Linked DNA regions of Drosophila melanogaster. The protein of the gene in region 2 interacts with the protein of the main gene of each other region in a pairwise test. Each region holds a gene or a part of one and is shown on either strand. Other genes may lie near its edges.

The links. Proteins that work in one complex are often made in the same cells at the same time.
Region 1: the proteins of CG15167 (region 2) and CG15576 interact in a two-hybrid assay, tested with the Drosophila melanogaster proteins (one large-scale study listed by BioGRID).
Region 3: the proteins of CG15167 (region 2) and AdamTS-A interact in a two-hybrid assay, tested with the Drosophila melanogaster proteins (one large-scale study listed by BioGRID).

The regions. Positions count from the first base shown.
Region 1 is NC_004354.4:4,250,593-4,254,950, reverse strand, and holds CG15576 (uncharacterized protein), read left to right. Parts: upstream 1-2,160; 5' UTR 2,161-2,312; coding exon 2,313-2,684; 3' UTR 2,685-3,081; downstream 3,082-4,358.
Region 2 is NT_033779.5:18,738,165-18,742,050, forward strand, and holds CG15167 (uncharacterized protein), read left to right. Parts: upstream 1-2,193; 5' UTR 2,194-2,245; coding exon 2,246-2,596; 3' UTR 2,597-2,643; downstream 2,644-3,886. Other genes in the region: CG42752 (uncharacterized protein), read right to left, coding at 1,354-1,842.
Region 3 is NT_033777.3:15,472,417-15,478,254, reverse strand, and holds the start of AdamTS-A (ADAM metallopeptidase with thrombospondin type 1 motif A), read left to right. Parts: upstream 1-2,061; 5' UTR 2,062-2,966; coding exon 2,967-3,368; intron 3,369-5,606; exon of another isoform or gene 5,607-5,838.

The DNA of each region.
Region 1 (4,358 bases), on a different chromosome or scaffold from region 2:
TGAAACTGTTGTCATTATTATTTTTTAAAGATATTATGGGGCTTTTGTGGCACTCTGAGAGGGGTAAACAATGGTATTGGAATCAGGTAGTCGATTGTTAACGGGGATCCTTTCAGACACTGGTAAACCCTTGCTTTTTATTGCAATTTGTTGATGCCAGTTCGTGAATGAATATGCAACATATTATCATTGAAATAAAGTAAATAAAGTAATATAAACAAATTTTTTTGTTTTACCTCCTCTATAACTTTCACAATATTCTATCCAAAGTTAGCTCCCCCAAAGCCCCAAAATTAGCAACCCTAATAGGACTTACCCCATGCAATTATCTATCTTATCGTGACTCATCGGGCAGATTAGTGAGGAAGTTGTCATGGGGTCTCTCGGCAACAGGCAAAACTCCAACCATGAGTTGGCCACGACATTCTCGTCCTCCAGAGTGGGGATTCTCGCAGCTGTTGCATTCTGGGCCTAAACTGTGCGTCTACTCAACCACAAAACACACAAGTTCCACTCGGCGAAATCCTGCGATGAGGAGATGAGGAGGTGCCAATATATGGAGCTGCCACAAGGGGCATAGTGGAAGGGCGCCCCGAAAACTCGCAAAAGTTTGCTCCAAAGTCCAACATATGTTGCCTGTTCATGCATGCCCTCGTACTCCCCCTCTCTCCACGTCTCCCCTTCCAAATTCCTTGCCCTGCAGTCACTAAGTTAGTCATACAAATGGAGAAAATAGATGACAGAACCATGTTAAAATAATGGTATGAAATAGAGGTTGTAAAATCGCAAAAAAATCGATTCAAACATAGTTAAATCATTGATGAAATCTTATGATATTTAAACATAGACAATTTTCATTAATAACGAAGTCGCTTTTATTTCTTTAAGTGCACGACTTTCATACACATACGGCCATCCAGCACGTGTGCCAGTGTGTGTGTGCCAGTGTGTAATTATAACAAGTTTTCTAGGCAATTTTTCTGTTTTCCTTCTCGTTTTTCGCCCCAGAATCTCGCTAGTTCCCCCGTTCTTTTATTTTATTTTATTTTTTTGGGAACGCTTCTGTTGGGTATCTGAAGAGCAAGAAGTAAGTTTCTGATAAGAAAGTTATGATGAGTTTTCTTCACTCACACAGCGAGCAGAAGATGGCAGCACATGTACACACAGCTGTTGATTTTGGCCAAATTAGTGCAAACACGTCTTGTTTTGAGTTGTGGCCCATGTGGAACATGTGCAACTAATTTGCAGTTATCAAGAGTTCTGCCTTCGACGGGGTTGAACGGATGAGCTCGTGGTCAGATGTCTGTATCTAATCCATCTGTTGGGGCATTGATTTTGGCATCCCAGATACATGCCACCAAACCCAATCCACCCACCATTGTTAACAAATTTCCATTTCCGGTGGTGGCCACAAAAAGCGAAAGGTGTGCGGATGGGCTTTTTCGGGCGGAGTTGGAGCTCGGAAAACCCCGCTGGCCTGTCTGCCGACTGTCAAAAGTTTATTTATTTGACACCGAAAAAGTTGACACAGACACCAGGCCGGGGGCGTGACTTTGTGCCTGAATCGGATTTATATGCCTGGCCAAAATTGGATTACAATTGAGTTGTAATTATGCGACAACAAAACGTTGCGTTCGAGGGGATGCGGATCCTTTTTGGGGTCCTTTGGAGCTCACCGCCTCTGTGTTCTGTTTTCCATGTTGTCGGCAATTTGAGCCAAGCGCTTGCTCAACGACGTCTTTTGAAATTTCGCATTTTGCATTAATTAAAACTGATTTAATTAAAGCTTGTCGTGTTGCTTTTAAGTACTTCAGGAACCAGGATGAGAGTAACAGGTCCTCGAGCTAGGACATCCACTAGCGCATCCAATCCACCCCATGAAAATGATTGAAGCGAGAGACCAAAGTGTTCTGGACTTGTCTCCTGTCGCCCTCGCCAAAGATTCTTTGTCGTCTTTGAGTAGGTGAAAGTTTAATTAAATATGCATCGAGCGTACACAAGTATGTGTACTTGTGGGCCACATAGATCGCATAGATATTTCACCGGAAGTCCCCCAGTCGGATTATGTCGGAATTAGTTATCCAAATTTTTTGGTTATCTCTTATCTCTTGTACAATATTTCACATAATACCATTCCACAATTCAGCTTTATTTGTCTTGTCACATATTTCAGATGCTCAGGTCTCATTGAGATTTCTATCAATCGGTATTGTGTGCTACCGTGTCAGAAAAATATTAGTTATTCGAAATCCCCAACAGCAGCAGAACGTTTCGATCGAAATTTCAGTAAGAACAGCTTTAAAATATTCAAAATGAATCCATTTAGGCCAAATCCAGGTCAGAGTTTTCGCATTCGCTTGAATATGGATCGCGTGCCGGGCGAAGAAGAGCGCAATATACAGCCATCGACTGATGAACGTCGAATCACCCAAATTCCACCGATTCAATTGCGCATCGATCATCAGCGGGATGTGAATCGTTTCATGATCAATATGCGTGTAATGCTACATCGACGGAGGACGGAATTAAATATGGGAGGCGGCGATAGTATCGGCGTGTGGAACTGGAGGGAGCCTCCGATGCCAAGCGGTTTGATTGGCGAGGGCGATTGTGATGGCGGTGGCTATGGTAATTACGCTGGTGACTATCATCCACCATTGCGGGGACTGCCACCAAACCCCTAGGATCTGTACCTTCTCTTACCACACTTGCCATCACTGTCTTTTGCCTCTCCCCTTCCTGTGCGTGTGTGATGTCCTTTTTTTCATTTCTGAGCGTCGTCCGCAAAAAAGAAGAAAAATGTCATCATCAGCTAAAAGGCCCGAAACCCCAAACACAATCCACTACCACTTCCATTCTCATTGCCACCTGAACCAGTAACCCTTGGAGAAGAACGGACCCTGTTCGGACGCATGTTGTTCTATTATTATATCCCCGTTGAGTTCTGGGTTGATGATTTTTCCATCTCCCCAAGAAAATTGATGGGCTTTGGAATTGGAGGACATGCCGAGCCCCGGACGCATATAATAATTTCCTGTTCAATGAGCAATTATCGTAATAAAGATACAATTCCGCTACTCTATATTATATTCGGATACGGGGATGACAATGGTGGTCAGTGGGCAACGATGGTGGCCAAGAGGGGAACAAGCGCACTGACGACAACGATGATGATGATGACTGGTCTCTTCCGCACTGATGTGATGGATTGAGCCCCAGCTCAAGTCTGATTCCTGTCTGTCATGTCACTTTTTCCATGGGGTTAATGGGGGCGTGACAAACATACGGGAAAAGCGCACGGAAAGTTGATTGAACTGCACTAGTTAACTATTCCCCGAAATGACTAGCATGCCATTTCAATTCTAGATGAATTTGACCCCAATATAAGCACTTCATTTTACTTACTTCATCCTAAAATGAACTTCTCAATGAAAGCTTCTATTTTAATGCATTTATTCTGAAATTCGTACATACATAGATTGTAGACAAATCAGGATGCCAATTGAAACAGATTTTGCCCTCTCAGCTGTGACATTTGCATAATCAAAGAAAATTTCGAGCGCAGCCATAGGAACTTTAGTGGGTGTTTGACTTTCATTATAGCCTTCTAGCAGCTTTAGGACTTCCCAATCACTGAGACCAACTGGCAGGGACTCGAGAGTATCAATTCGGGTAGATAGATGCCGTCCTTTATTCTATTTATTCTGGTTTTTTTTTTCCCCCTGCCATTAGCAGGCGACGTCAAGCTGTCAGACGAAGTTCGTAGCCTTTTTCTATGGGGTTTCATTTGGGATGGTCTTTGTTTTGCTTATCGAGAGAACATTTTATTGCTTTATGCGTTTAATGAAGTGTTGCTGGATCGTCGGAGTCAGGGAGGCACTCAAAAGCCCCGACCCTTGGGACACCCAGACATTCAGACATCCAGACAGCCAACCCTTCGCTTTCACTTTTTGAAACGGGCTCCAAGACAGAAAGCGGGCAGCATACATACATATCAAACATTTCTGACAGTCTATGACGTCTGCCAAAGGAGTGACTGACTCACTGACGGACTGGCTGGCTGGCAGGCTGATTGACTGATTGATGGACCGCCGACTGCCTTGGAAACCAAGACCGGTGTCACTCACTCACCCACGAAGTTCGCATGTAATGCATAAAGAATGAAGCTTAAATAAAAGTTGGGAGATGAGAAATAGGATTAACTTGTCACACAATTGAATTTAATTTCATACACAACGAGGGCGGTGAGGAAAAGCATCTGGAAAACCCGACCAGACCAGACCAAAACAGACCAGACATTGGCCCATCTCTCTCCTCACTTTGGGGAATATATAGACTTCGAGTCGACTCGAAAAATG
Region 2 (3,886 bases):
TGACGTGCCTACAAATCAAAAACATTTTGGAAGCTGATTTTTTTTTTCTTTTTTACACCTTTTTACATCTTGTGGTCCCATACGATTCCACAACTCACCTCTGACGATCCACTGTTCAATTGCTTTCCCAACGATCCATCTTTACCCATGTCACCGATTTGCCGATCCCCCACAACCGTCCACTGGAAGATTAACCAAAGCGAGGAGCGCGACAAAAAAAGAAATAGAAATCTGATATATTTGTCTAACATCTTCGGCATTAAGCTCACCCCCAGCTCAAAAACGCGAGATTTCCGCATTAGAAACGATTTTTTAATTATTATTTTCAGACGCCTACACGCAAAACCGAAACCCGATGGCTTCGAGTGGATGCTCTGCTCAAATGTCAGGCTTATTAATACAACAGCACCAACAGATCTCTTCAAGCTTCAAGTGCTGGGGATTTGTGGCCGGGGTACGAGATGCGAGATGTGAGATCCGAGATCGAGTTGAGGACGCTGTGCATCTTTATGTGGGAGTGCGGGCTCCATTGATGACACGTCATTTGCTGGCATAGACATCTTCGTCAAATGTGTTAAGTTGCGCTAAGAGGGAAAATGAAAACAGGTCTTCCAGTTCAACGGCAAGAGTGTCAGTAAAATGTCATGGAAAGCCACTTAGCTGGGAGTTTTTGATTTTCGATTTTTTTTCTGTACATTTTCTGAATCGGATTCGCAGCGTCCCCACATCCGCTTTTGGAGGAAAATAAATGCACGTGAAACAAGCAATCCGAAAAGGTAGCTAGCTATCAAACATTTGTCAATTTTCCTGCCCGGAGGTTGGTATTTGGTATTTGGTTTTTGGTGCGATTGGTTCTAGCTCGCGGGCAATGCTCAATTACGGTTTTGATTTAAATCAGTCTACTGACCCCAAAAGTTCAGCTACGGAAATTGCAAATTTAATAATTGACTGGCTCAGAAAACTGTAAAACCCAAACCAGGGGGCTTATTAATGCGATAACCTTGGCTGATTTAATTTCTGCCGTCTATTCGCCGGGCCTGTGATTATCCAGCGAACAAGAAAACCAAACCAAGCCAAAACAAAAACAAAAACAAAAAAAAAATACAAACAGCGACTTCCATAACAACAAAAGGAAAATCAAAACTTGCACAATTTCGACACTAAACGGCGATGTCTGGGCCACTCTTCGAGTGCCTCCGAGCTGCCAGTTAGTCGCATATTTAATTAAGAGATTGAGTGCCGCAAATAGTGTTGAACAATGGCCAGCACGAGTCGCATCCACACTGCGAGAAATCACTGCGACTAAAGAGAATCGGGAATTGTGCTGGCATAGTCTTAGCTATATATTGTCCATTAACAATTGACGAAATATTTTAAGTTAAAGAAGTCGGAATATTTTGCGAACAAGGCTTTAGTTGCCTCGGTTTCCTCTTCCGGTTCCGGTTTTTGATTCTTGAACCTCAGAAAGCAGTCCTCGTATATATCTCCCAGAAACTTGGCGCCCTTAGGAACTCTATCCTTAATATTAAATTTCTCTTTGTTCGGATTGAAGCATAACTCGTAGGCTGAAAAAGTGACTCGTTGGTTAAAGGGTTCTGGAATGCAAAACCTCAGAAGGTAGGGCTTTATCCGGTTTAAATCTTTCCGCTTGCCATCCATCACTCCAAATGCTTGTTTGCCCCCGTGGGTGAATACTATGTATCCGGTTATATGGTTTTTGTGGCAATATTGAAGAATTCGACGCGGAAATTGGTTCCTTGACATTATGTTGTACAACTTAAACTCGGTCCTAAGTTGAATATCCTCATTGAACATCCAATCGTAGGACCCTAATAATGTCATTTCTTGTTTAGTTTTGCTGAAAGATATGCAAATAACTTAGGGCTATAATTTTGGATTGTACTGAGTGTTAAGCTAAATTTACTGGCGTGTAGGTTTGTTTTTAAACTAAATTGATTAAACTGATGACTTACGCAAAGCATAATTATTAATTGACATTTTGTTTTAAAATACGTTTCCTGATAGTTTATAAAAATACTTTTTACGAAAATCTATATAAATATAAAAGTATAGCATTTTTAAAGATTCAGAATTTGTTTTAAATGCTTACCTTTGGATGGATCAGTGATGTTTACTCCACGCAAATTTTTCGATTATATATCATCAGCAGAGTAACTTAGGAAATCTGGATCATTTATTTTCAAAAGCCGTGAAAACTCACATACTCAAATTTCCATTCCCAAAAATGTCGCTGGAACTGGTACTCCAACCGCAGCCAGAGATCTACCTATTAGCGTATGAAATGAGTGTGCCCGAAGATTCCGATGAGGCCCTGCTTTCAGTTGTGGCCCACAAAGCCGCAGAACTTAAGGTGTGTGGCTACATCGCGCATACGCACTGTGGCCGCAAAGTGGGCGGCGAACTGGAGGGCAGCTCTGCTGGCCTGCAGATGATGGTCGAGTGGATGCAGGCTAGGAGCCAGGGGAATCATCTCGGGGACGGGGAGAAGATCAAAAGCCAGATGAAGGAGCCACGATTCTCGAAGTGGAAGCTGCAATCAGGGGCCCCCAAATACGATGTTTTCTTCTGTTGCTGAGTGCTGACGAGAGGAGTTGATTAAAAATCGCAAATTGCATTGGCCCCAGAATATTGTTTCGAGTGCATTTTCATCTCATAAACCATAACAATCAGTGTCGGCCGCTGCTGCTGCTGCTGCTGCTGCTGTTGCTGATGTTGCCGCTGCTGCAGTTGGGCCATTGAACAATAGCCCGGCTGACTCGAAGCTGACTTTTCAAAGTCAAAAACGCGATTGTATCATCAGTATTTTTCGGGGCGCGCTCCCTGCCTCTGCCTTTGCCTCTGCCCCTGATTTTTCGTTTTTTTTTTGTCTAACCATTTTCAGATTTTTCCGCTCGGCGCTGGCAGATAAAGTAGAGGAGCCCGAGTTGCGGCGAAAAACAATCGAATCAATTCATTTTTCTAGGGCGTACTGTGCCACTTGAACGTTGAACTGCAGACGCCCCAATGCTGACTACCGCTGAGGTTTCGCTTTTGGGCTTTCCATCTCCTCCGGAGTTGCCATTGTCTGCTATCAAGACGGCAGCACGGTCTTGATCGTGCCCCGGCACTAGTCATTTTAATTTTTCAAGATTTTCCGAGCTCGGCGCTGCGCGCTGTGCTGTGCTTCTGCGCATTTCGCAATCTGAACTCTATAAATCTCTCGTGCCGGTGTGTTAGATTTATGGGTTATGGGCCAAATGGGAGCGGGCCAAGCCAAATGTTCTACGGACGGCACAGAAATCGGCGATCCGGGCGATTCAATTAGATCTAAACGCTGTCAACATCCCGGCACTAATAAGCAGCAACATTTCGGGCGAGGGGTGGCCACAGCCCGAAAAAAGTGTAAATAAAACCAAGAGTGTCGTCTGGCCTGTGTCTGTGGCATAATGTTGCATAATATTTTATGCATGCAGAGCTGGCAGATTGCAACATGTTGCCATGTTGCAGCTCCAACTTCGACGCCGGCCCCGGCCGATGATGATGATGATGATGCATAGCCCCAAGAATCGCTGAGACAGCCAAGCGCGCTGTGGCGCCCCTCCCTGAATCTCAATCTGAATCTGAGTCTGGAAATCCTGCAAACCTTCGCGACTTCCAGCTGTGTGTGCCCGGGCTCAAAGTGTGTCGAATATTCAAGTGAAAATTCCGCCCCAGCCCCCAAAGACCCGCTGCGATGCATCGCGGAGTCCTCCAGAGTGCGGCGCTTCGATGACGTTGAGCTGGGATTTGAATTTCGGATTCGACCATGTGTTGGTTGGTGTCTCTCTGCCCATGCAGGCATGCCCATACATCGACACGGAGAGAAATCATAATCTGCACAATCATG
Region 3 (5,838 bases), on a different chromosome or scaffold from region 2:
ATCCAAATCCAAGTTGGGGCCAGTCCATCTATGCTGTTGCCATATAAGCATCAACAGCTAAACAAAAGTTTATGGCTATCTGCCCGCCTTATGATCTAAATGCGTTAATTATTAGGATGATACAATGCGATCGGAGCAGATAGCATAGATACAAAAATGGATAGACAGATAGATACATTGTGGTCAGCGGTCTCCAGTGGCTCGATCATTAGCATCTGAAAACCAGCGGCGCCTCTTTGAGCAATATTTCCTAATTTAGAACGTATGCTTTCCTACAGATCAGTATGCGATTTGCTAGACTGAGCAATTTATTAGTGACTTGGGGAGAGACTCCAGCTAGGAGTCGTTTATTTTGTTTAGTGGCTGTGTAAACATTGCTTACAGGGCATGATGATTAGTTCGGTGTAATACAAACAGCCTTCTTGGGGAACTCACTTGCCCCCTCCAGACTTTTAGGGCTATTTTGTAAGATGTTCTGTTATGGCTGCTGTTTTATGTTGGCATCATTTGGATGCCGGCTGTTTGTTGTTGATTACAAAACAAGCGTTTTGTTGCCGATTGCATGGTTGCATGGAGAACGCTCTTCCTGGAATCTTTTGAGATGTTTTTCATTAGTCCACCATTCTCGCAACATCCGTAGTATATGAATATGCATCATCGTATTTTGGAATATTTTTAAATTTTCGCCGACCTCCACGGCGGCGAAATGGATTTTTAATTTCCAACTATACTTTAATTTGGCAAACGAGCTCTGGTCTTTTAATTGATTAATTCTTATTGCTGCGTTTGATTAAAGAAAATATTTAGTATACAATAGGGTCAATTGCTACATATGGTAATTTGGCACAGAAGACATTTATGTGGAAGAGTTCTCGGCGTTCAAATAATGGAGCGAATGGCTACTATTTTTATTCACTGACGCGATCAGTAGATTGATCTTGACCCACATTGGATGGGCTGGGATCCGGCAGATGTCGCACACTCTATGCCCAAATGAGACAATATAAAGTATAAAGTATAAAGTATTGTTTATAATGATACCAATTTGAGACAAATCAGTTACACTTGCCTATCTAAACTATTACGATATGTTTGTTCAGCTTGTGTAGATTATTTAGATATATCTTTATATTTGTCGCATTTCTGAGTAAAGGCTGTCGTGTCAGTTTATTTACGTCAAAAAAAGAATTTTTTTTGATACTGATGAGCTAGTCATCATTGTACCATTCTCTGTGATCATCAACTTCCTTTTTTTCTTCCGAAATGACTTCTTCCGGAAGTGCACCACTGGTAATGCCCAGGGTCTTATCCTCTATTTCAAAAGAATTCGTATTCAAAGTTTTTAGTACTGCTCGGTGCGATTAGTAATGCATAGGCTAGTAAAATAAGTCATAAGTAAAAAGAGTTTTATTATTTACTCAAGTACATACTTACTCAAATTGGTTGGTATCACACAAGTGTGAACATGTTTACAAATTTTGATTACTTTTAAAAACTATTACTGAATAAAGCATGCAGCATAAGCCTATTTTTTTTTTTTTTAATATTTATATTATTTCATCCGAAAAGGCAGATACTCTAGATGCAAAGATTGTTACTATGCTAACACACCTTATCTTATCCGATGATAATTATGTCCACACACTTAATCCTCACATGTGCAAAAATATTGAGTAAGCAGAGGCGCACTTAAGAGAGCGTTCGAGTGCTCTTTTAAGCCGCGCTCGGCTCTCTTTTCGCCACAGCGCTCTCTGCGCAGAGAAGCCGGCTGTTCTGCGTACTGATATGATTCTGACGTATTTCTAATCTCTCTAAAACACTCCTTCGGAATCGAAATCCTAAGCCCATTCAGCAAACCCATATCCCTATACTCGTGCCTACATACGAGTATGTACATACATATGTACATATGTATGTATGTATGTTGTACAGCATATAGCTGCGAGAGAACCGCTTTTAGCTTTCGGAGCGATATATGTTCGCGATCTCAGATTGCTTGGCGGTACGGCGGAACGTCCGCTACCAACTGCTGTTCGGCGAGCAGTGTTCAGTCCGCAGCGGGAACTCAAGCGAGCCGAAACGAAACATCGCCAGATACAGATACAAATTCTCTGGTTCGCAGCATTGGTCTGGTCCATCGGCTCGTTCTCGTCCGTTTCATTTATTTGCGCGCGCGCGGTAGTATCAGACAATTGCTAAAGTTCCATTTGTAATATTAATCCAGTTGCGATTTCTAATTCGAATTTGAATACGTATTCATCCCAGTGCGCCAGTGTATTCCGTATCCTGACCAGCCATGTCGGCCAGATGGCGATAGCGATGCCGATGCCAAACGATCGGCGTGTTCTTGTGAACTCTGACATGGTGCTCAGTTGTGGGACAACCTTCGCCACCGAAAAGTTTGCAAAAATAGCCGCTGGCCGAAAGCGAAAAGAAAGCCAGCAACTCAGAATGCCAACGGTGGCCAAGTTAATGGTGCAGCTCGAAAGTGAATGCATTCGGCGCGATGTGTGAAGTTCAAGCTTAACATTGGCCAAAACCCAACCGCAACTGCGAATAAATTCTGTGATTCGGCAAAAAGATTCATCATGAGATCGTACAATGGCTCCAGTACTAAGTAGTTTATCTAGCTAATCGCAGCCATAAGTGTGAGTCGTTTTAATACCCACGAGCCGTAGTCTTTGCCTTTCTGTTCGTTCGTATTTTCGCATTTTTTGGCGGGTGCGGTGCCCACGGCAACGGAACGAGACTGTCGCATTTCAATTAACAAAATAAGCAAAAAGCCAAAGAGCCAAAGAGCCATAGAGCCAACATAAGTGTAAAGATACATATATCTACAAGATATACGTATAGCCGTATATACGCATACTGTGGATTTTGTTGCTCTTTCGCGCGCATTTTTGCACGTGCCATTTGGGATTTCGGATTTCTGAGATTGGAGATCGCTATCTTATCTGGTCATCGCCATGTCCATGCCGGATGCCGGTTCACTTAAATCGCCCGCCGGCGGCCAGGAGGTCGAGTGCCATCGCCTGCTGTCGGACCTGCCCGCCTTCGCGTATCCCAGCACCACACTGCGGTCCACAACTTCTGGTCACAGCACTGGCACGAATAGTACCACTGTCTGCGAATCTCCCGGTGCTCGGGATCGTACCTCCTTCGCGTGCTCCTCCTCTTGCGTATCATCCGCCTGCTCAGCCACCGCCTCCGATGACGACGAGGATGAGCGTGCCCTTGAGCGCTGTCTGCGTGGGACGACGGACGACCTTGGGGAGTCCGGCCTGCGGTATTCGCTGAAAGGACCACCGCCGGAGCTCTACTCGGCCAAGAAGGACTTCATCAGCAAGGGTCCGCTGCTGGGCAGACAGGTAGGTCCTAAATCCGAGCTCTACATAAGTATAAATATTTTTGGAGGCCTAGTCCGCCGCATCGAATTTCGTGGGCTGATCGAATTCGCAGACCGGGATTTTAACGATTTTTCATTTATTTGTGTTTGTATTCGTCTCTGTCTCTCTCTCTCTTTTTTTTCTACTTTATCGAAATCGGCTGGCCAAGCGAAAACCAAATTTAAGTTAATTTATTGCATTGATTCCACATCAATGTGTCGAGTTCTTTCCTTTCTTTTATAATTTCGGTTGATTTGCCGATATTTTGGTGTGCTCGTCTCGTTTTGTATGCCGCATTGTTTTATTTCGTTTCATTTCATTTCATTTCATTTTTTTTTTTGTTTTGTTGCTTTTGCCGCCACTCTGGCTCTCTATTCGATTTTGATTAAATACCACTGGCGACACAAAGAAAGCGACAACCAAAGCGTTGACCACCGCATTTGAATTCACACGCCTCACTGGCCACGAAGCACCGCGCACGCGGCAGCGGAAATGTGAATCTGGATCCCAAGTTGGATCCACGATAGGATTCTCGGCAACCTCACCGTTCGACAGCTTCAAACAGACTGAAGATGGCAACGTGTTCGAAGCACTTCGATCCAAATGCGCCAGAGCGCCTCCACGAAGTGCATTCATATATCAAGCAATCTGGTCATCAAACTATTCCTTTTGGTTTGGGTTTGCAGCTCCCACTTCTTTAGCTGACTCATAATCCATCCATTTGCGTCACACAGGGTCTGCTGATGTATGTCGGACGTGTGTTTCCGCCAGGTTGCCACTATCTTGCTCTAGCTCTGCAGCAACAATTTTCGGGAAAGCGAAAGATTCTGCAGCATCGGGAGCACATGTCCCACAGGAGATAAGAACATAAAAGATATCTAATAGAGATAAAGAACAAAGACGCCCCTGTCTGGATGTCACTGATATTCCATATTCCAGACAGGATTGGGTACGAACTTTTTTTTGCCCATTAGTGCGAGGCAGACGACGAATTAAGATGCAAATTTCGATAAACATTTTCAAGTTCGGTTTAAGGAAATGGTATTGCAGTTACACACGACCTGGGTGGAAACAGCACATAACTACGATTTACAGAGCTCAACAAGGTGTGAAAAGCGTTTGTTTCGGGACGTGACAACAACGTGAATGGAAACATGCCTAAATCACGGCTTACTGGCTAACTGGCAAGCTGGCTAACTGGCTAACTGGCTAGCTGGCTTACAGGCCATTAGAATTTTATCAACGTCCGCCTGGCGGGCAATGTAAAATGTGAAAAACGACACGATCCCCCGGTCCATGAATACATAATAATGCATAATAATGTTGGGTGCGCGAGTGGTGAAGTCTGTAGGCCCAACTGCCACTGATAACGGGCCATGTGTGGCAACGTAACCCCCTCGGGATCGAATGGGAATAGGATGTACTGTCTATTTGGGTTGTATGTATAAACTCGTATGCACATCGCTTGGCATTTTAGAAGCACATGAGTAATTGTGACATATTCAGTGCGGTGCGACTCGATTCACTCGCTGTTGTGAATGTTTCGAAAATAGATTTTCTAGTTTTTCGCGTGGCGCCTAGAATCTGAGAAGTCGGGAAATACATGCATGTAAGTAAGGCTGCGCCGTCCAATTTGTATTTCGACAATAAAATTTTCACAATGTGTAGAATTTGAATATTTATTTTCTTGCTTTTTGTTTCTGTTTCGCGTTTTGTCTTTTTTTTTTATTTATTTATTTAGTTTTTTTTTTTGAGTCGTACGTCGTCGCTTTGCGCGTGTTTCTCTGTTCTCTTTTTTCAATTTATTTCGTCTACTTTAAATAAAAACAAAAAAATATGCTAGTTTCGGAAAACCGAAACTTATACACCCTTGCAGTAATTATTTGCAGAGTTTGAACAAATTAAAATCGAATGTCAAATCACAAATTTGGTGTGTACCGAATTAGAACGCATTATGATTAAAAAACAACTAAGCTGGGATTAGTTTTTCATTGATTTGCTAGACATTTTATATGATATGATAAGGTTGTCCGTTTCTGATCAAAAGCGAAAGGCTGTAGATTGTCTTCTTTACTGCGTTGCAAATTCCTGACTGAAAGCAATATACCCTTAGCAAGGGTATAACGATGAAAATTTGAAGAGTTCAGTGACACCAGAAAAATATAAGAAAAGTAGAGAAAAGATGACTGAAATGCTCAATTTGTCAGTTGCTTAAAAAGTACCACTCAATATGTGGGTGCTGTCGAATATGCGACGAGTATATGACCATCCATCCACCCAAAACTAGATGGATAACCCCCGAAGACCCCGAAGAAAATCGAATTGTGACCAACGACGATTAATGATCGTAAAATATTCAGCTCGTCTACCCGTGATTAATGCCACACATAACCATCATTCTGTATACCGATTCTCATGCAAATGAGTAGGGCGTGTCCTTGCAGCCCTTTGC